Linked DNA regions of Medicago truncatula. The protein of the gene in region 2 binds, or shares a complex with, the protein of the main gene of each other region. Links are inferred from orthologs where the notes say so. Each region holds a gene or a part of one and is shown on either strand. Other genes may lie near its edges.

The links.
Region 1: the proteins of COP9 signalosome complex subunit 4 (region 2) and COP9 signalosome complex subunit 7 are in contact, whole or in part, in a cryo-EM structure (PDB 9IS6), measured with the Arabidopsis thaliana proteins. The link is inferred for Medicago truncatula from reciprocal best matches to the Arabidopsis thaliana genes COP8 and FUS5. Residues at the interface, in NP_199111.1 of Arabidopsis thaliana: Glu269, Arg270, Ile271, Arg273, Ser310, Lys313, Leu314, Tyr315, Thr316, Asn317, Ile318, Arg319, Glu322, Thr325, Leu326, Val357, His359, Gln373, Asp383; in NP_563645.1 of Arabidopsis thaliana: Met1, Lys108, Val124, Arg125, Glu128, Asp129, Ile132, Asn133, Met136, Tyr137, Lys144, Leu145, Asp146, Gln147, Leu148, Pro155.
Region 3: COP9 signalosome complex subunit 4 (region 2) and COP9 signalosome complex subunit 3 share a complex: the UniProt entries of both Arabidopsis thaliana proteins name them as parts of the CSN complex. The link is inferred for Medicago truncatula from reciprocal best matches to the Arabidopsis thaliana genes COP8 and COP13.

The regions. Positions count from the first base shown.
Region 1 is NC_053048.1:38,135,465-38,143,082, reverse strand, and holds the start of COP9 signalosome complex subunit 7, read right to left. Parts: upstream 3,054-7,618; 5' UTR 2,826-3,053; coding exon 2,664-2,825; intron 2,233-2,663; coding exon 2,157-2,232; intron 242-2,156; coding exon 153-241; intron 1-152. UniProt on the Arabidopsis thaliana protein: Component of the COP9 signalosome complex (CSN), a complex involved in various cellular and developmental processes such as photomorphogenesis and auxin and jasmonate responses.
Region 2 is NC_053045.1:13,730,296-13,737,416, reverse strand, and holds the start of COP9 signalosome complex subunit 4, read right to left. Parts: upstream 3,017-7,121; 5' UTR 2,856-3,016; intron 2,679-2,855; 5' UTR 2,677-2,678; coding exon 2,547-2,676; intron 2,169-2,546; coding exon 2,017-2,168; intron 702-2,016; coding exon 598-701; intron 487-597; coding exon 426-486; intron 186-425; coding exon 93-185; intron 1-92. UniProt on the Arabidopsis thaliana protein: Component of the COP9 signalosome complex (CSN), a complex involved in various cellular and developmental processes such as photomorphogenesis and auxin and jasmonate responses.
Region 3 is NC_053047.1:8,387,578-8,395,111, reverse strand, and holds the start of COP9 signalosome complex subunit 3, read left to right. Parts: upstream 1-4,475; 5' UTR 4,476-4,594; coding exon 4,595-4,779; intron 4,780-7,050; coding exon 7,051-7,169; intron 7,170-7,534. UniProt on the Arabidopsis thaliana protein: Component of the COP9 signalosome complex (CSN), a complex involved in various cellular and developmental processes such as photomorphogenesis and auxin and jasmonate responses.

The DNA.
Region 1 (7,618 bases), on a different chromosome or scaffold from region 2:
CTTATCCACCTTTGATGGAAAGAAGAAGAAAAAAAAAAAGACATTTGATGATAGAAAACTAGGGAGGAGAAAAAATGTTCCAAATAACAGAAAACCAAACCCTTAAACAACCCTTAAATATGTTCCTATAACTTTGGACTGATAGGAAATACCTTGTAGGTCTCAGCGAGTGTCAGAACTGTAAGTTGCTTAAGCTTGAGGATCTGATCAGGTACCAATTGTGGAAGGCGATCAGCATTACCTATAAGTCACTCGAACGTTTTAATGAACGCCATTATATTATTTCCATTTACACGTAAATGATAAAAGATTTAAAAAACAGACGCAACGAAAAAATAGAAAATCATGAATGAAGATTAATATACAAATCTCACTGCTGGTATTTACAAAGCAGAAAATAAAGTGGAGTGAATTCTTTCATCTCAAGACACGTGTGGCGAGGTTCAAAATAGTCCGACGCATTATTAAGCAATCCCAAAATGTAAAATATGCTCCTATGCTGGCATGCACAGTGTTTTCAAAATTGAGAGTTTGAACAAGATCGAGAGGGGGTTGAAAGAACGTAGAACGGATCATAAGATCCTACTAATAGGGGAAAAAGATACACACACACGTACATAAAATTAAAAATTATATTAAATTAAGAAAAGATGCCCGTCCTTCCACAGACTTGTAACCATAAGTTCATAACTTAATAAATAACTAAGTTTAAAATTGGCTCCTAACAAAATGAAATCATTAACACAAGGGAACAGGTGACAACAAACAGAGGAACCACACCCAACTCAGCAAGAAATAGAGGAACCACACCCAATTCACAAAAACAAGGGAATGAAGGGAAGAGGTTTTCAGAGGTGGCGGAAGGCGAGAGAATGGGAGAAGGAAGAGGTTTTGATGTTATCCCTCACAACAGAGGACTTGCGCGAGCAAGAAAAAGAAAACGTTTCTATTTCTCCCTTTTTTCACCATTGAAAACCTGAGTTTTACCAAAAACTGACCCGGATCCATTACAATTAAAGAAGATGGGGTTTTGCTAAAACCCGGCCCATATTGGGGGAAATTTTGCAACGGTCTTACGGCATTTCCCCGGTCCCACTCACATTGAAACGCAAGATCACACGATCCTATGTAGTGATTCCCGATCTTACATACATTGAGCATGCATATAGAAGTCCACATGTACAGTATGTCCGACATAGTAACCATAACTTTTTGCAATCATTACAAAGTAACAACTTACTATCTCATGACATAAAGTCCACGTGTACAGAACCAAACTTTTTTACGAAATAACTAATTACTTGTTAATTATACATCATCTGTTATGGCAATCTTTACAAAAGTAACAACTTACTATCTCGTGACATAAATATCCGGGAATCAAATTAAGAATAAACTCAAAAATCACAAATCACCAACCATTGTCATGGTACTAGGGTTGGGAATAGGCCAGGTTGGCCTACAGGGGCCTACGGCCTGGCCTAGCCTGGCCTGTTTAGTAGATAGGCTAGGCTTAGGCTTTTTAAAAAGCCTGTTTAGTTAAATAGGTCAGGCTTAGACTTCCAGAAAAGCCTGTTAAGTCTAATAGGCCGGCCTATTAATACGTATTTATTAAAAATTATTTTTTATATTAAAATAATTGCATACATTAAAAATATAAACATCTTTTTCTCTATCTATTAGTCCCTAAATAGGCTTTGTTGTTATAGGCTTTTAAGTAGGCTTTAATCCAGTTAAAATTTACTTGTTGTTAAATAGGCTTTTAAGTAGGCTTTAAGGCATGTTTAGTTTATTTAGTAGGCCAAATGAACTATTTGATGACCTTAATATGAAGTAGGCCTGTAAATAGGCTTTCAGGCCAGTCCAGGCTTTTAAATAGGTCAGGCCAGGCCAAGAAAAACGGCTTATAATAGGCCACAGGCTAGGCTTAGGCTTGTAAATTTTTTCGTAGGCCAGGTTCAGGCCTATCAAAGCCTGGCCTGGCCTGGCCTATTCCCACCCCTACATGGTACACTAAAGGACAATTCCTACAACATTTGTTTAAAGTAACAGCAAACTACCGGAAAAGGAAAAAATTCAACAAAGACCACAGAACACCCACCAGACAAAAATGCAAGGAGATTAAGATAAACAGAAAGATCAATCAATCTACTTACTCTTGTAGTCACTCCATATTCCATGTGCAAACAGGCGAAGCAGATCAAGGTAGAATTTTTCATCAGTTGCTTCAAGCTGCAAAAACCAGATTCAAAAAAGTTATGGCAGACATATCGAAACTAATCGCATATTTATTAGCAATTTTTCAATACTGGGACAACAACATAGGGGATTGTTGAATTATGTCATTTTCTCAAAATTTTATTGATGTCAAGGTATCTTTCAGACGTGTCAGTGTTCGTGTCTGTACTTCATGAGTTCTTATCACCCCATAATTTATTTCGAAACATAAACAACTTAGCAAAATAATCCACCTAAAAACACTAACTCATTCACAATAATCACAATGAACGCAAACAACATGGAACAATTTATGATTAAAAAAAAAAAGAAAAACGAAAGGAAAAAAAAAATTTACATCTCGTTTTGCAATCAACTAACACTCACATAGATGAACAAAACAATCGAAAAATCACAACAACAAAAAATCAGAAAAAAGGGGGAACCTGAAGAACATTGGGGAGAGCGAGAATCTCAGAGAAAGCGAAGAGCAAAGGGTGAGAAGTAGCATCGACAATGACGGAAGAGATAGCGGAAGTGTTGGAAGCAGCAGAGGCCTGCTTGACGAATTGATCGATGAGTTCCGATTGTCTCTGTTCAATGTCCATGGTCGAGAATGATCAAGGAATTAGGGTTTTCGATGGGAAGATCGATTCGATTAGGGGGAAATTGAAAGGGTTTTAGGTTTAGGGTTTCGGTGGAGGAATTTAAGAACGCATTGAAAGAGATTTTGGGTTTCGGTGGAGGAATTTAAGAACACGTTGAAAGAGATTTTGAGCGGTGAGAGGAGAGGTTTGTGTTGAGTGATGGTGAAAGCACTCTCGTAGTGATGTGAAAGACCCGTTTATATACTACTTCCTCCGTCTCAAAATGACTAACTTAGTTGACCGTGTCACATTGAGTCTATACGAAAGGAGTTGGAATTTATCATGAGAGAAATAATATCAACCGAGAAGAGTATTCACGAGGAGTCGAGGACCGGTTGAAAGTAGGGTTAATTTTATGGAGGGAACGTATAAGAAACTAAAAAAAGAATATTTAATATCGTCGAAACAATGAAAATTTTGGTAGAAACTCTGGACTCGATGATTAGTTTTCTTTCAGAGAAGGGTGTGTGTTTGTTTCTAATGTGATCATAATTGATTTTGACATAATTGACTTTGATAAAATTGATTTTGATATAATTAATTTTTGGTTACATGCAACGATGCGGAGGTAATTGTTATATAATATTACGATACTTAAAATGAAAATAAAAATTGCAAAGAGATAATTTTAAAGTTCAATTTGGTACTAAAATATTGTTACAATACTAATTTAAAAGTGTGATATTAATTGTTTTGCATGTACTTGATAATTTATTGCGGATTGTTTTTCGAACTGATACATCTTTGTTGACGAAGCTACATTTATAGCTTATGTTTTGTCGAAGTTATATAACCTGTGATAATTATCAGAGCGAATGATTGCGTTTTCATCTTTATAAAGATTAAAATCAATATCAATTTTGGCACCAAATTGTGAACTTTGGTCACAATAACTTCACCTCAGTCTCAAAGGGTTGCTTTGATGTCGTGTTTGATTTGAGAACCCTTAATCTTGCAATACGTGAATATCTTACCATGAATATTTTCTACGGAATTACAAGACTCCTCGTTGTTGCATGCCCTTGATTTCGAAGCTACAAATCTCATATGTTCATTAACATAAAAAATGTTCGAACGATTTTGTGTCTGCACACGGTTGTTCTTTTTCACAACAACTTGAGTGGAACATTTCCCTTGTCTCTTGAGAATTATAAAGTAACGTATTTACAACTCAATAACTAATAAGGAGATAAGCGGTTTACAAGTACACATGATGTTATATAATTTATGAAGTTCTTGTCTCAGGAGTGGGTTAACAAACAACATCTGTCTCACGAATCAAATTTCATATCCGTTCAATTGTACTTATTTGTTTGATATTGTAGTTTTATTCAAATATGTTATTTAGTTTGATTCCACATTCATTGTTCGCTCTCACTTTCTTAAATAATATCTCTTTGAACAACAATTTTCTTTGACAACTAATACACGTGTTTCACAAGGGTGTTAAGGCCAATTAAAAATTAAACTTTTAAGTTGTTAAGTATGTTTGTCTTATCAAGAGTCTTATCTATCTTATGCGGGACTTGTGTTTTTCCCAACACGCCACTCTCACGTCCATCACTCTTTGGGCTTGGTGTGTGAACAGGTAGGTGGCCCTTGAATTCGACAAGCTCTAATATCATGTTGAAATTCGGGGTCTAACTCATCCTTACAAAACCGGCTTGTAAGGTGAGGATTGCCTCCTCTTTATAAACTCTTCTCAATAGTCTTATCTATCCGATGTAGGACTTGGATTTTTCGAATAATGTTTGTTCTTGCAAGATAATGATTAGGGGTGGGAGAGAAAATATTGTGTGTTAATCTTGGGAATTTGCGATTGAACTATCTCCCTCGTGAGTTCCAAGTTAAGAAGTTTAGTTAATTTAACTCTTGCTAACAATAACTTGAAGGGTTCGATGCCACACAATTTTACAACCTTGTCTTAACTCTGGGTTCTTAATTATTTAAATAAATATAAATAATGGGACAACTTCCCAAACTTCCATCCAAGTTTAAGTTGATCACAATAGGCAATACTTTACTTGACCTAAATATTTCGCAGCAAATAGATGGATGGTAAAATGTTACTTCTTTTTTCGTGATACATATAATACAACGACACATAAAATTGTTTGTGTGTGTGTGTGTGTGTGTGTATATATATATGTATGTATGTATATATGTATATATGTATATATATGTCTGTAAATCCACAATGCATAAACAACAACAAAAACGAAAGAGAAGAGTTGTACGGTACAACATGTATTGAAAGTGTGAAGAAAGAAGATGCTAAAGTGGGTTTGAAAGAGGAATCACATTTTGATTGAATTGGATTTGCGAGATGAATCATGTTTTGATTAATTTAATTGAAGAAGAAATTGATATTTGTGAAGAAATTGCATATTTGACAAACACATATACAAAGGTTTGTGAAATCACAATGAGTAGAAAAATAATGGATTGTGAAACGGGTACAATACAACATCACTTTTGAGAAACAGTAAACCAAATTGTTTCTTTAATTTTGAAATTGGGTTGGGCTAGTTTTTGAAAATATTAGTTTGGGCTTTTTGGATTGGTTAGCTGAATTTTAAGTTATGAAAACTTTATTGTCGAAAAAAAAAAATTGTGCAAATCAACGCTGACATATTTTGACGCTGAAAAATGCTATCAACATACTCCCTCCATCCCTATATCTAAGCACTTTTTGCATTTTTCACATTTCTTAAGAAAAATTGTTAGGGCAATTAATGTGTCTATTTTGTGTGTTAATATTACTAAATTGTCCTTTGTTTGTATGTGTATTAAATTTGACTTTTCATATTTCAAGATAAACTAGACTTTCCACCCGTGCTGCCGCACGGGTCATATACATTGTAGATATAATAGACAAAAACAAATCTCAATGCATATCAAAGAGAATGAAATATGTGGTCCCAAATATATGCAGATGTTGAAATTCGAACCTCAGACACCACGCTTATTCACCAAAAAAATATTAATTTTTATCAATCGTGTATTACTTCATTCTTTTGTTAAAATTATATGTCAATATTATATTATTGGTATGTTACTTCATATTTTTCTTTTTTTTTTTTTGAAAAAATGTTACTTCATTCTTTTGTAAAAATTATATGTTAATGTTATATTATGTACCTAAAAATAGTTCATTCTTAACCTCAACATGTAAAATGTTTTATTTAAATAATTTTCCTTTTATCGAATATTTGGCTTTTACCGTAAATGATACCCTTTAACTGTTTGTTGAAATGTTTCTTCCACCTGTTTATATAGATTGCGAAATTCAGGTGCATTTTGTGTTAAATATTTAACAAAGAGAGTTCAGTTCTAATTTGGATAAAAAGTGTAATATTAACAAAAAAAAATGTTGCTATAATCTTTCAAAACCCTTTTATTCCAATAGGGCGATTTGTTTTGTTGAAGAAATAGGGCGATTTGTTTTGAAGAAATAGGGGAAATAAAGCGATGCCGATTTGCTTTGTTCATGATAATAGGAGATTAGGTGTGAGCATTAGCATTGTTCATGAAAATAGAAGATTAGGTGTGAGCATTAGGGTTAAAACGGTAAAATTATGCAACAGGGTTTAGGTTAAAATTAGGGCTCATGAAAATATGAGATTAGGTAGCATTAGGGTTGTTCATGAAAATATAAGATTAGGTGTGAGCATTAGGGTTAAAACGGTAAAATTATGCAACAGGGTTTAGGTTAAAATTGGGGCTCATGAAAATATGAGATTAGGTGTGAGCATTAGGTTGTTCATGAAAATATAAGATTAGGTGAGAGCATTAGGGTTAAAACGGTAAAATTATGCAATAGGATTTAGGTTAAAATTAGGGCTTACGGGTTACCTTTAATATATACGAAGATTAGGTGAGAGCAATAGGATTGTTCATGAAAATAGGAGATTAGGTGTGAACATTAGGGTTAAAACAGTAAAATTATGCAATAGGGTTTAGGTTAAAATTAGGGCTTACTTGTTAACTTTAATATATAAGAAGATTAGGAGAGAGCATTAGGATTGTTCATGAAAATAGGAGATTAGGTGTGAACATTAGGGTTAAAACAGTAAAATTATGCAATAGGGTTTAGGTTAAAATTAGGGCTTACATGTTAACTTTAATATATAAGAAGATTAGGAGAGAGCATTAGGATTGTTCATGAAAATAGGAGATTAGGTGTGAACATTAGGGTTAAAACAGTAAAATTATGCAATAGGGTTTAGGTTAAAATTAGGGCTTACTTGTTAACTTTAATATATAAGAAGATTAGGAGAGAGCATTAGGATTGTTCATGAAAATAGGAGATTAGGTGTGAACATTAGGGTTAAAACAGTAAAATTATGCAATAGGGTTTAGGTTAAAATTAGGGCTTACTTGTTAACTTTAATATATAAGAAGATTAGGAGAGAGCATTAGGATTGTTCATGAAAATAGGAGATTAGGTGTGAACATTAGGGTTAAAACAGTAAAATTATGCAATAGGGTTTAGGTTTAAATTAGGGATTACATGTTAACTTTAATATATAAGAATATTGTTCATGAAAATAGTAGATTAGGTGTGAACATTAGGGTTAAAACAGTAAAATTATGCAACAGGGTTTAGGTTAAAATTAGGGCTTACTTGTTAACTTTAATATATAAGAAGATTAGGAGAGAGCATTAGGATTGTTCATGAAAATAGGAGATTAGGTGTGAACATTAGGGTTAAAACAGTAAAATTATGCAATAGGGTTTAGGTTAAAATTAGG
Region 2 (7,121 bases):
AAAAAAATAGAATACAAGGATAAACAGGCAAGATAAGGTTCATTTATGCATATTTAACTTCAGTCACCCTTCAGAAGCTGTCATTTTCAAACCTTGTACTTCAAATTCAATACTTCATGCTGGCTATTGCTAACCAAGAATGATGCTTTATTAATGAAAGCTTCAGCATTTACAGCATCGTCATCCTGGCAAATACGAAAAATATTATTTCAAATAACCTTTATGATTCTGAAATTAAAACCAATAATTTTGTACGTGACATGTGAAAAGTTACCATTTCAGATATAAAATTATATTCATATTAAAGATGTGGAACCAGTATACGTGATTCAATTTAGACATTGTGGCAAGTTATATCTCCCAATATGGTCTAAGAACCGACATCAATCAAATATGGATTTCCTTGCACAAAATAAAGTAAATACCTCAAGGTATAAACAAGCAATTTGAACACACTTTGATAACCTGAATGTATCATCAATTACCCTGATAAAAAAAATCAAAATAAAATTAATAATAAGAAAGAGACATTTTCAAATTTTGGCAGATTTATAATAATTTAGGCAAACAGGTAAATATGGTTGGAAACTCTGAGACCTCATTCCTGAATCTAGGTCAATACCACTGAGCATCTGGGCAGCTTTTGACCATTGCTCCTCAGATTCATAAAGCTCAGCCAATTTCTCTCTAATAACCAAAACCTTATAACAAAACAACAAGTGACAATCAGCATGGAAAAATGCATACTTAGACAAGAATTCCATTATTGATTTAAACGAAGATACATAATGTGATGAGAGATCTGAATACTTTTTCAATCAACATCTCTACGCATAGAAAACCCTAATGCTTGACATAGTAACAAAAATACTTTTTAGATGAAGTCTCGGAATACAACAAAATTTGCAATTGTATTTTCTTTCACACTTCCACCTTTCCACAATTTATACCGTCCTATCAAATACCATGATAATAGTGTCGGAAATACTATGTATTCAATGGCGGATTGCAGCCGACACCAACAACGCTACCGTTATATGGTGGGTAAAGGTATAACACTGACGTCAAAGCTTAGACTTTAGAGATGCAGTACAAGAAATTTATAACACAGTATCATACACATATAAAAGCTCATAAATAGTACACGCAAAATTAAATGTATATTCATAAGTCATAACTAATAATCAAAGTTTATCGTTACCAATATTCAAATCCAAAAGAGAATAACTTTTCGGGTGAAATGACCAAAAATTCTAAAAAATAAAACTGAACAGACAGCAATAAGTTAAGGTGATATTCGGGTTTTCACGTGAGCTTAATTGTAGTAGCGGACGCTACAGCCACTACTCAAATGCAATGCAACAGAGTTTCACATGTCGCCTGAGAGCTGATGTGCAACACTGCTATAGAGGCAGCTATCGACTAAAAAGCCAGCATATTATTTGTATAGGAGAATTTAATCCCCCAAATAAGTAATAAATACCTATGAAGTTAAAATAATTGCTCAATTAACTATTATCAAACTGAGATGTAAGAAAGCACACGCGCTTCAAAATTGCATCCATGTGCATGCTAACCAATAACCCAAATCAGAGCCGGACATGCATTCTTTTAACAAACTTCTGACACTTAGAACAGTTAGTGGCTTTTACAATTTTGTCACTTCCATTTTAACTACAAAATAAATGGGAACGGTTTATCACGTTCACAAAATTTCATGCTTTCTTAAGATGTAAGTTTTAATATTATATCTAATTTATTTGTCGTATTATAGTTATGGCTGTGTCATACCGCATGGCCCATAGTTTTCAAATTCTGCTATATCCCTATGTCTATATCATATGATATCTACGCCTAATGTTGAATTGTGTTTCATCTTAGTTTTTTTTTTTCTCTCTCGTTGTTATATATTTCCTACCATGGTTAAGAAAGCAGCATTCAAGTTAACTTCTCCTATTTACCAAAACAAAACATTACAATCATTTAGCCGCAAAACAGAATAGACAAAATTTAAACCTGTTCTTCAAACGACACAACTCGAGGCTGAATCTGAGCAAGTATGTAATGAGCAATCTCTTTCTGTGTCTCAGGTGCCAACCTTCCCAACTCTTCAGCAAAACTCTGTAGAAGCTGACGCGACACTACTAAAGGAACATCATCCGATAACACTGAAACACAAAATTCAAACTTTCAACAACCTCATATATTAATATAAAAAAAAAACCTAAGGAAAATAGGTTTAAATATGATTAGTCTTTTCCGAATAAAGTCACGCCATAACCGGTAATCATGCCACGTGGCCAATAAGTTGATGTCAGGTTTAGTCCTTGCAAATTCAAAATTTGTTGTTCTTAGTCTATGACGTCAAACATGACGCAATAAAGTCACGGTATGTGACCCAATAAGACGTCAGGGACCAAAACCAAAAAAACATTACAATTGCAAGGACTAAAATTATATTTAAAACCTACTAAAAGACTAAAAAAATATTAAAATTAAAAAATAAATGAAAAAACCCTAGGTTGAGGAAAAAGAGAATTATTAACTGTGATCGATGAATTTCCTAGCATGAAGAATGTCATTTGATGAAATGACAGCAGAGAGAATTTGTTTATACTGCTCTATCTTCTGTCTTTGGTCTGTAATCGCTGAAGCGCTTGCAAAAGCACCCTCCATCACTGTTTCACATCAACATTCAACAAAAAAACGCAACAAAATCGGTTAATAAACCCTAAATTTCAAAAATAAGCAACGAAAATTACAATTTCTTCAAAATTTCCACAAAATTCATAAGAACTAAGCACTAAAGAGAAGAAAAATCAACGAATAGAGTGAAATTTGACGGAGAAGTTTACCTAACGGAGTTGAAGGGTTTTGGAGTGTTTTCGTTTGCGTTGGTGGAGATTGTGATTTCTCACTCCTCCGTTGCGTGAAATAGAATCGCTTCTACTATAGAAATTAGAATTCGAATGAACCCTCTTCTTATTTTTCACCACCACCGTGTTTTTGCCAATGTTTCTCGATACTTGATTTTTTATTGGGTTTGGTTTGTCGAATAAATTAAGCCCAAAGTTTTGAAGCATGTGCTATTATGGCCTCTCAAATTTCTTGTTTTGTCTCCGATCTTACTTATCACTTCATTACTTGAAAATAATTTTTTTTAGCATGACAAAAGAAAAAGTAGAAAAGAAAAAACCATAAAAATCGGGCTCAGCATGGGGCATCAAGCCTCAACTCAACACTGACTTCAACTCTGATGCGGGGTCTGCCAAAAAGTCACACCTGATCTTAAAGAGCGTCCAAGCATGACCAAGAAATATGCGCAATGGTTGCCCTCTCGAAGTAAATTGTTGGAAATAAATGTTAGAAATATACTTGATGAATACGGTTTGGTGCACTTGCTATATTTAGTCATCATATATCATGTTATAATATGTTGGTTTAATAGCACTTTTAGTCCTCGCATTTTGACCAACTCGCGAAACTGGTCCTGCCTTTTCAAATCGAGCAAAGCAGTTTCTATATTATCACATTTTTTGTAATTTTAGTCCTAACCCCCAAATTAGCCTTCAAAAACGCTGATGTGTCATGTTTTTAATGATGTGGCCAAAAAAGCACTTAGGTGGCATTTCTACACTTAGGTGGCATTTCTACCATGGAAAATGACATTAACATATCATCAAATCAAATTTTATTAATTAGAAAATAATTAAAATATTTCATAAATTAAAACAAAAACAAAACCAATAACCCAAAAATATTCATCTTCTTCCTTTAGTTTTTTTTTTTTAAGATTCTTCATTGTTTTTATCTTCAACCTATATAATAAAACTCATACCCAAAAAAACATCAAATACCACATATTTCTTATGCATCCTCAGATTCGTTCATCTCCAGGTTCGCTTATCTCTCTTATGCTTCCACCCAAATACCAAAACTCCATCTTCAGATCCGCTTGTAACAGCCCGATTTTTCGCTAGATTTATTTTTAATTAATTATTATGTGATTATTTGTGCTTGTGTGTATTTAATTGGCATTGGGTGCATTTTCATGGATTAACGTATTAGAAGGGTATCTTGGCCATTTTGCGGGTAAGGGTAAAATGGTCATTTTGGTGAGAATTATTTTTAATGTTTAGTGAGAACCATTATTTTACTAAGTTACTAGTGTAGTGATTAGTTTTTACCGTTTAGTGACCGTTGGTTATATTTTACCGTTGTTAGTAATTATCGTTGAGTGTATAGAAACTTTTTAGAATTATGTTAGAATGGGTTAAGCCCATTAGGGTCTAGATTTGAGCCCAATTGAGATAGAGCATACCTAGACCTAAAACTTGGAGAGAAATTCATTCATTCATTTCATTTCACAAAGTTAGAGAGAGAAAGTGGGAGAAAGGAAGAACAAGGGTTAGAGAAAGGGGGAAACTTGAAGATTGAAGAATTAGGAGCTAAAATGAAGCCCAAGTTTGGATTAATCATTACCTAAGGTAAGGGGGTTAGTCTTCATCATAATCATGATTGTTTTGTTTGCAATTTTCTTGGTTTGTATGAAAAAGTGCTTAATTGAGTGAGAATTTATATGAACCCAATCTTTGAATTTCGTGCTCTTGTTTTGGTGATAAGTTTGAGTATGTTAATTGATTGATAAATGAATTGTTGGTGATGAAATAACATGTTCATAATGTATGAAAATGGGTAGTTGTGAAATTATGCTTAATTGATGAATTATGACATGTTGTTGTGGAATTGAGGTGAGAATCAAGTTTTAATTGATGTTGTTGTTGCTGAGACATGTTGTTGTTTATGATTATGGCTTGGGTGTTCATATATCATGATTGTTGGTAAGAAATAAGATGTTGTTGGTTGTTTTGCAAAAATGGGTCAAATGGTGATTTTGTTTAAAATGATGTTTGATTCAAGTAGTTATATGTAATTGAGTGTCTTTTCATGTTGAGAAACGTTTGGATACACTTTGGAATCGAATTTGGGTAATGGGAAGTCGAAAATTGGGATTTTAGGGTGAAAATGAATTTTTCCCGTAAAACTGAATTTTTCTGAACTGTGCACTTCCGCCAGGCGAGCTAGTGGCGAGCAGCTACTGCCTTCACTCGCCATGGCGAGCAATCTTTCCGCCAGGCGAAATTGCCCAGTTCCAGCATCCCATGTTTTCGCGTTTTGCGTCGTTTTCACTCGTTTCCGTTTTGTTTTGGCTTTTGACTTTAACATGAAAGTTTTAGACAATTGAGTTGGCATTCCATAGGCCTTGGTTTGACTTGAAAATAATGTGTTGTTTTTGAGTTATGAAGAAAATACTCTAAGGAGGTTTTGATAAAACTTTACGAAAATTCCGCACAATTGTTTCTAAGTCAACCCAAACCTTATGGATGGCTTCCAAACTTCAAAGTATGTTTATTATAAGTTCAATTAAGGGTTTTAGAGTATTTGAAACTTGGTTTGTGAAATTGGGACTTAATTTGGAAAATTACTTAGAATGCCGATTTTTCCGGAATGTGATTTTTCTTAAGAAATGGAATGAGATTAATGTTGTTTAATGATTATTGAATTTCCGGGAATGGATGAGATTAGTTCCTTTGAACTTTACTTGGTTATACTTTGAAAATGGAGATGTATGGATGAATTATGATATGTTAGATATGATAATAACATGAGGTGTTGTATGTTCTGTTACTTGATATATGAGAAATATTGTAATGATGAGATGATATGGTATTGATTATGTATTGGTGATGAATTATTGGTGTGATTGCATAAATGCAAATAAATATTGGTGATGATTTGGTGAGTTGTTGTGTGGACATATGCATTATTATCGAGTCATATGTTCATGCATGCATATTTGGTGATGACGGATATGTTTATATATATATATATATATATCCAATTGGTGATGATTTTGGTGATGATGGACGACGACCTAAAATATTGGTGATGACCGATACCGCATGTATATAGGTGTTGTGTCTATGATCATATCATGAGGTGACATGAGTCCTAGTTGTGAATTACTTGATGTACTTGTGGTTGTACGTGATTGATGGTGATGTTCGTATTTAATGGATTGTTATGTCATGTTATGATTAATCATGTGAATTGATGAACTCATGGAATTGGTGGAATTGTGAATGATGATTATTGATGATGATGTGTTCGTTGAATATATGTCGGTGAAACTTGGATTGCGGTGATAATGTATGTATGGAATTTATCTATTTTGATTCATTACATGATATTGGATTATGTTATTCCTGCTTATCTGTATTATTGATTATGTTGATGTAATACTCACCCCAGTGGTTTTAACCGCCTACTTGTCTGTATGGGTGAGTAGACGTTGTGCAGGACTAGTAGCTTGGTGAGTTCCTGATATTGGTGGATAGTGGGAGCTTTCTCCGCTATCAGGTCTTAGAGTAGAGTTGACTCTGATATAGGGTTTTGTTGTTAGCTCTAGATCTTTTTGGATTATTTTTATATTTTGAGATTTTGTCCATGTGTCGGACTTGGAGATTTCATGCTTATGCATTTTTGAGATCATGTGACATGTATGCTTGATGTATATGATTTTGTATCCGCTGCGACTGATGAGGTTTTATATACATGCATGTCAACCGTTGATTCGATTTTGTTTTTCTTTGATTTGGTGAAGTAGCATCCATTTCTTGAATATATGAATTATTCGCATGTTTAATTGCTTTAATAGAATTAGGGTGTTACACCGCTCAAATTAAAATTCAAATCTAAAAAATTGAATTTCATATTGTAGTTTATCTCATCCCTCTAATCAACGTATGTTACCTCTTATGCATCCTTAAGAAACCCAAATAACCCCACCTTATCCAGGTTTTTTTTTTTACAAGCTTTTGTTTTTGCTTAAATCTCACATATTTCCAATCAACTGGTAGTGTACAATTTTAGAGCGTTGCATACAAAAACAATGGGAAAAGATGGAATTAGGTAGCCAAAGTACAGATATGCACTTCCCGTTGATAAAATTAATGACCTGTTCGACAACCAGATCAAGTGCAGAGGTTACACCAGTCAAATTTTGCCGGAATTCTTCAACAGTTTGTTTGTCACCGTCAATAAAATCAGTCACAACTTTT
Region 3 (7,534 bases), on a different chromosome or scaffold from region 2:
TCACAGCCCCACTATTTGCCTCAATATATATAACATCCCTGACAGCTACCTGTATCAAAGCTGTAGAATGTTTGACACCAATATTTGTATAGATTTAAAATGACCTTTGAAAAAGAGAAAAGAATAACCTTTTCCTTGATCAAGGCATCATATATGGTGGGGTCCAACTTTAGTTGCTTGGTTCCTTTGACTGTCTTCAATCCAATTATCACATGGCTGATACTTTTACCATAATCTTCAGTTATACTCTCAGTTTCTTCAGGAGAGAGCTCGGTGACCTCGCCTTCATATACTTCCTTATTTTCCTTAATACGAAGACCGATAGCACGTCGAAAATTTTCCATAAGAACCCCGTTGAGTATACTTCGGAACCAACCATTGGGCAGAATGGAACCTTGGTCCCAAGCTCCTGACATATCCCAAGTGCTAATGCAGTCTTTCCGGTTCCCGGGGGCCCAGCGAGAAGGAGTGCCTTGCCAGCCATCTTCTTCTGGCGTATCATGTCGACCACAAGGCCACACGCTTCTCTTGCCTCAGCTTGTCCCACAAACCCAGAAGCAAAAGGCAATGCTTTTCCACTCACCTGAACAATGACCAAACCTTTGAGCATAGCAAGAAATAAGCAAAAGGGTATGGCTTCACACACAACAAACACAAAACGGAGAAAATAACTTATTAAATTGAGGAAGAGAAGAGAACGAACCTCAAGACCTAGGCCTTTAATGTGAGTGTGAGTAGCAACACGCTGTTTCTTTGTTGTCGACTGAACCTCTTCAATTTTCATCTTTGTAGTCAATCTTGGATAGCGGGATAGCCGTATGACAAATAGCGGTCACTGATATTTGATTATTTTTTTAACAAATTACATTAAACAAACTTGTATATAATTTTGACATGCATGGGGAGAGAGATTGAAGGGAGAAGAACATGACACAGATTGAGAATGAGAAGCAAAGCGGCAGCAATGTATATGAGGAAGAGGAAATGAAATAAGGCTAGGGTTTGAGTGTATATCACTTACAAATTGGACTAGGTATAATCCGAAAATGTCGTATAAAAAAGAGGGAAAAAAGGTGGACACACAACCAAAAATTATGTGCAGAAAGTGGCTAGGGTCCTATGTTTTAAGACTTCATAAAAATTGAGTGGGAGGTAGAAGTCAGTTTCTAGCATAATTAGCATGAAATGTAACAAAACTATGAATGCAATTAGAATCGGGGGACAATTCAACGTGAATATGCTTTTGATTAAAAAATAGGTCGGACGAACCTATTTTTTTTGTCCCTCTATTGCACAAAGTAATTCAAAATTTCATAGGATAGTTTGCCTATGATGGAAAATATTTAGGACTAAAACTTGATAAAAAATTTAGAGGAAATAAAAAGCAAAATTTGAAAATTGTATAAGGACAAAAAACTTATTTAACCCTAAATTAGAAAAGGTAAAAAGAAAAGGAAGGAATGTATGTCTCATGGTAAGTCCCAAATGGTAAAGGCGACGACGCCGCTCCACAAGGCAATAAAATATGAGACAACTCCAATGGAGATGCCACCAGTTACGATGGTGACATCAACACCAGATGCATTTGTTTATGACGATTACATGAGAATTATGCAAACAAGAAATACTTGCGTACAAAACGAATAATAACATGACAATCATTAACTTTTTAATAAAAATGTAAAATTAATATAATGAAAATCGGTTCTAATCTTATTTCTCTTGGTCACTTTGATAAAATCATTGTTTGCAATCAAGTCATGCGCTGACTACCAAACAACCCTTCTATCAACCCCCCTGGGAATCAATAGAGTTTGATTGAACGATAATTTCGTAGGCAGAGCATAACTTGATGTGCAAACAATAATATTTTTTCAACGGTAAAGAGAAAAATAAGGAGAACCGATTTCATTATCTTAACTTTACATTTTTATTAAAAAAATAATTAATGACTATATGTTATTTTTCATTAGTTATAAAACCATAACATGTTCGTTTGTACACAAGTATCTCTCTCAATAACTTAGTACTAAGATGCATTGAAAATCTCTCGTCACTATTTATATATCCAAATTTCGTAAAATAAAAAATACATAGTTGCAAAGATATATTACAAGTTTTTGCTTTGCGAATAAGAATTGACATTCTCATTGATCATGAAAATCTCTAAAGTCTGAGATGTGAATTTTCTTCTATAATTATCACCACAAAAACAATTTGTAAATCACAACACTCAATTTTAAAAATTATTAAATTCTAAAAACAAAAAAAAATTGTAAACTAAATTAATGCAATAGCTCTCAATTATAATGAAATTTCTGCTCATAGCTTGAAACAAAAGACAAAGTATCACAAAGCAAATATAACAGAGACACTTGTATATTACACATAACAGAGACGCATCGATACCAGGGGTGGACCCAGACATTCTACATTGTTGTGGCTAAAATTTCATGATGCAGATTATACTAACAACAAGAATTAACATTGTTTGATGCAATACAATTACAATAAAAATCGTCTACTATCCATTTGTTGAAAATGAGCTAAATGAGCTAAAATAACATCAATGCTAATTGTGAAAAGAACATTTTTTCTATATAAGTTATAACTTATAAGACGGTCATTTAGCCACAATTGTACACAGAAGTCACAATGCTCAATAAGCAATTATCATGTACAAGCAATTTTTCCAAACTCTATAACAATGAACTTAATTCTTTTTTTTGAACAAATTATATTATTAATAAAAAAAAAAACATATGGCATTTGGCGGTAGCAAAAAAGCTATGGCATATTTCCATGCATTCAGAAAAGCTATTAACGATTCTCAATCTCCAATTCTAAAACCCTAAAAAGTTTCTCAATTCTCAATTCTAAAACCCTAAAACAAGACATTGGTGAAGGAATGAGAAACTAGAGAATCAATTGGATTACCTTGACGTAGAGTGAGTGAGAACTGCGAGAGAGATGGTTGGTTTGAAGGTGATGCTGAGAGTGGAGAAGAGAGAGGCCTTGACGGGGTTTGTTTCTTGTTGTGAGAGAGAAGAAATAAAATTGATGTGTGTTGTGTTCTGGGTTCTCAGCGTATACACGGTGGGCACTTGGCTGTATACGGTGGGTCCGTTCCTGATTTATACCAGTATAAATTGTTTTTTTTTTTGAGGGAGCAGTATAAATGTTAACAATGTGAACATTTAATAGCGTCATCGTGAGTTTAAGAGTTGACACAGACAACACAGGATAATATACGTGAGGTTTAAACCTCAGCGGAAAAAAAAAATCTTTAATAGTAAATTTTTTATCTGTGGCAAAAAAAAAAACCTATAATAGTAAGTTTTTATTAAAATATGTGTGATCAATGTATTCACATGCATTCACTTATTAATAAGATCCTAATTAAAAAAATTAAGTTCCTTGGGCTCTAGTGATAAAGAGCTTATTCGAAGAACGTACCCGGGAATATCGGGTTCGATTCCTAGGAGAACAATATTTGACCAATGCACATGCCTCTACGCATTAGCCGAATTAGTCGTCCACCTTTGGTGGGTTGGAAACCGGTGCGAAAACCAAAAAAAAAAAATCCTAATTAAAAAAGGAAAATGATATCTTGGCTCATAATACATAGATTTAAAGCCAAATGTCGAAACTTAATTTTGAAAATTGTGCATTTAATGTCTTTTTTTAATCCTTAACTTGTGCCCTTAGGGCATAAGTTAGTATGACCCAATAAAAATATACATTAGGACATACATTCTTTAGAAGGTTAAATATGTTTTTGATCCCTATAAATATCTCAATTTTTTTTTCGTTTTAATCCCTATAAGAAATTTCTTCAACTTTTAATCCTTATTTTTAAGTTAATTTTTGTATTTTTTAATGACATTTTGCATAAATGTGTAGGAAATTGTAAAAATCTTTCCAAAAAAAATTAGAATTTTTTAACAAAATATAAATCATATATGAAAAATGTTAATATCAACATTAAAAGATTATTTTGACTAACAAAAATATACGATCAAAAACTATTAAAAATTTTGATGCATTACTTGTTCTTTATTTCAGGAACCAAAATTACTAGTAATCGGTAAATTTCATACGTATCACACACTCTTTCATAAAAAAAAATATATATCACACATAATAAAAGAATAGGTTAAATTGCACTCTTCGCCTCCTAAGTTTTAAAATGTTGCGATTTTGGCTCACTATTAAAAAAATTGCAAAAGTGACCCATATTTAAGGAAATATAATCTTTTGACCCTTTAACATAGGGGAAATATGATCTTTTGACTCCTTATCTTTTAAAAAGTTACGATTATAACCCCTATCTTGGAACACACGATATCTTCTCAATAATTTTGGGACGAAAGGAGTCTAAAAATTGCCATTTTTTTATCTTTGTTTTGACAAAAAATATTGCTATTTTTTTAGAAAAATGCAGTATAACTTCAAAAATAAAAATCCTTTTCACACAGGCACACATAAACCAACACATATATAAAACCTCCCATCTTTCCTCCTTCAAAACCCACTCACTCGTTACTCGTCGAATCAACTCGACTCAGAACTCAGAACCCTAATCATCACCGCCATGGATCCTCTCGAACCATTGATCGCACAAATCCAAGGTCTATCAAGCTCCTCCGCCGACATCGCTCGTCTTCATACCATCTTGAAACACTCCGATGAAACTCTCCGTTCCGATTCATCTCGTCTCTATCCAATTCTTCAACTCATTGATCCTTCCATTCATTCTCTCGGTTTTCTCTATCTTCTGTACGTATCACAATAATCTTATTCTTTCTTATAATCGCTTTTTAATTACTAGATTTTAGCTTCTTTTTTTGTTATTGTTGATTGAATGTTTAAACCCCATTCCTGGACTCTTAAGCCAAATATTCACTTTTATTTTGATGTTATTTTTTTATTTGAATTTATTACCAATCTATGAAGTACACACTGGATACGACCCTGACACGTTGACATGGATTCGACACTGACTGTAAAAGTGACTTAATTGAATATAATTACATGCGTCAGTGGTGTCGGACACCAGACATGCCTTCCATCGGAAATGTCGGTGCTACATAGTTCTCAATTTCTATTACCTTCTAATATTGCCATGACCTGTTTGGATGAATAAACAACTGAATGTCATATATAACACCACACTATACTGATACGACATTGAAACATACGATTACATTCAATTATGTCATTTTCTCAAATTATTTTGGGTATCAAAGTGTTAGTATCGAGTCCGGTGTCTGTGCTTCGTAAGTAAGCAATCCTTACTTTGCCTTCATTTTTTTATAATAGCAGAATAGAATCTCTTTTTTAATATATCTATATATTCTTAGATTTTAGGTATTGTTGTTGTTGTTGATTTAATGTTAAAACCCTAGTTTCTGGACTCTATAGAGTTTTTTTTTTTAATATTCAGCAGGTTGTTATTATTTGTTTAGAATTTAGACCCAATTAGATTAGCTTCTAGCTATGAAGCCACTAACGTGTACACCTCAGACGACACTAACACGTCAACACCGGTGATAATTTGTGTAAATGGCATAATTGATTCTAATCACATGTGTTAGTGTTGGACACCAACATGTGTTGCACACCGGACACGCCTCCAATATAGCTTATGAAAACATCTTTTAGAATATACAAAAACAATTCAACTTTATTTTATCTTTTGCTATAAAAATAGCTTATGTAGCTTATGCTTAAGCGCTTATCATGATAAGCGCTAAGGCTAAGCTGCAAATATGTTGTTTATCCAAACAGGCCCTTAGTCCTAATTTTTATTGGCTTCTAGTAAATGGCATTGTTTAGATAAACATCTTAATTAAGCAATTATAACATAAAACTTGTCATATAAATGCTTATGTATGAGTTATTTCTATAAAATAAAGATAAATTGTTTCCATATAAGGTATATGTGGTTTTCATAAGCTTAGCTTATGGAAATAAGATGAAAACAGCTAGCTTATATACATGTCATTATTGTTGTTGGATTAAATGTTAAACCCTAGTTGATGGACTCTAGAACCAAATATTCACTTTTTTGCTTAGGTGGTAATTATTTCCTTTGAATTTAGTCCCAATTTGGATAAACAACTTAATTATGCGCTTATAGCTTAAACAGTTATCATATAAAAATGCTTATGTATTAGCTATTTCTTTTACAAAAAATAAGATAAAACCGAATTGCTTTTATATAAGGTATAAGCTGTTTTCATGAATTGTCTTGGAGAGCTTATGGAGTAAGTTGAAAATAGCTTATGCATATGTTATAAGTTGTTTTCATAAGCTCTTTGAAACAGTCTAACAAGTGGTTATGTCAATAGGTAAACTTAAATAAGTCAATCAAACAGACATTTAGTATATAAGATTTGGATCATCTTAAGTGAGTTGAGAGTAAAGTAAGAAAATGAGCGCTTGTTATTTTAACACACTCGTAATTTGTGTTGCATGTGCATGTAATATGTAAAATTAACAATTGAATTCTTCATCAATGGTTGATATAATTACCTCAGACTCTAAATTGCTCACTTTAAAGGAGTTACATACTAGAATACAAGTGTTTCTGAATTGAAATAATCTGTAGTCTTTTATTTGTGATAAAGTATTGATAATCTATGAATCACATTTCACTGATACGTAGACACTGATCATAATTTGAGAAAAAGAAAGTGATTCAATGTAACCATATGCATCGGTGTCGTGCTGGTGTCGGACACCGGACATACCTTCATTATGAAGAGTGCTACAACTATAACTTTATAGGAGTGAATAGAGAAGCTAATTAAGGAACTTTCTGAAAAATTGAGATGCAGGGTAAAATTTGAACTTAGATAGGAGAAAGAAAAAGTTTTTTATTTTATTTTTATAACTGTTGATATATTTTTTTTCAGAAGTGCTTGCATTCGAGTTTATCTGAACTGTTCCTTAAATCTTGTTCACGTGCCTGTTTTGTTTGTTATGGAATAGTGAATTTATTTTTTCTGTTTTTATTTAATTGGAGACATACATTTATGGTTACAGAGATGCATTCTCAGCTGCTTCAGTTTCAAATCAGCAGCAAGCTGAAGAGGCAGTTCCGATCATAGCAAGATTCATCAATGCTTGCAGTGTGGAGCAGATTCGGTTGGCGCCAGAAAAATGTACTTGCTTTGTGTTGAAATATTGGGATTTCAATATTGCATTATTGAGCTTGTTTACTATTTACCCACAGAATAATGTTTCACCATCTTACCATAACATATACACCCTCCGGTCACTAATATAAGCAAAAAATTACATTTTAGATTCATTCATTTAATGATGTACATGGTCTTTATTATAGACCACATACATCATTAAATGAATGAACCTAAAATGTAGTTTTTTTGCTTATATTAGTGACCGGAGGGTGTACAAGTTTTAAGAACAAACAACTTGATGTGGAAAGATGCTGAAATATGGATGGATTATTTGTGAAAAATATGTTGTGAGTTGTGACGTCATTTTATACTTATTTTCCGTGTTA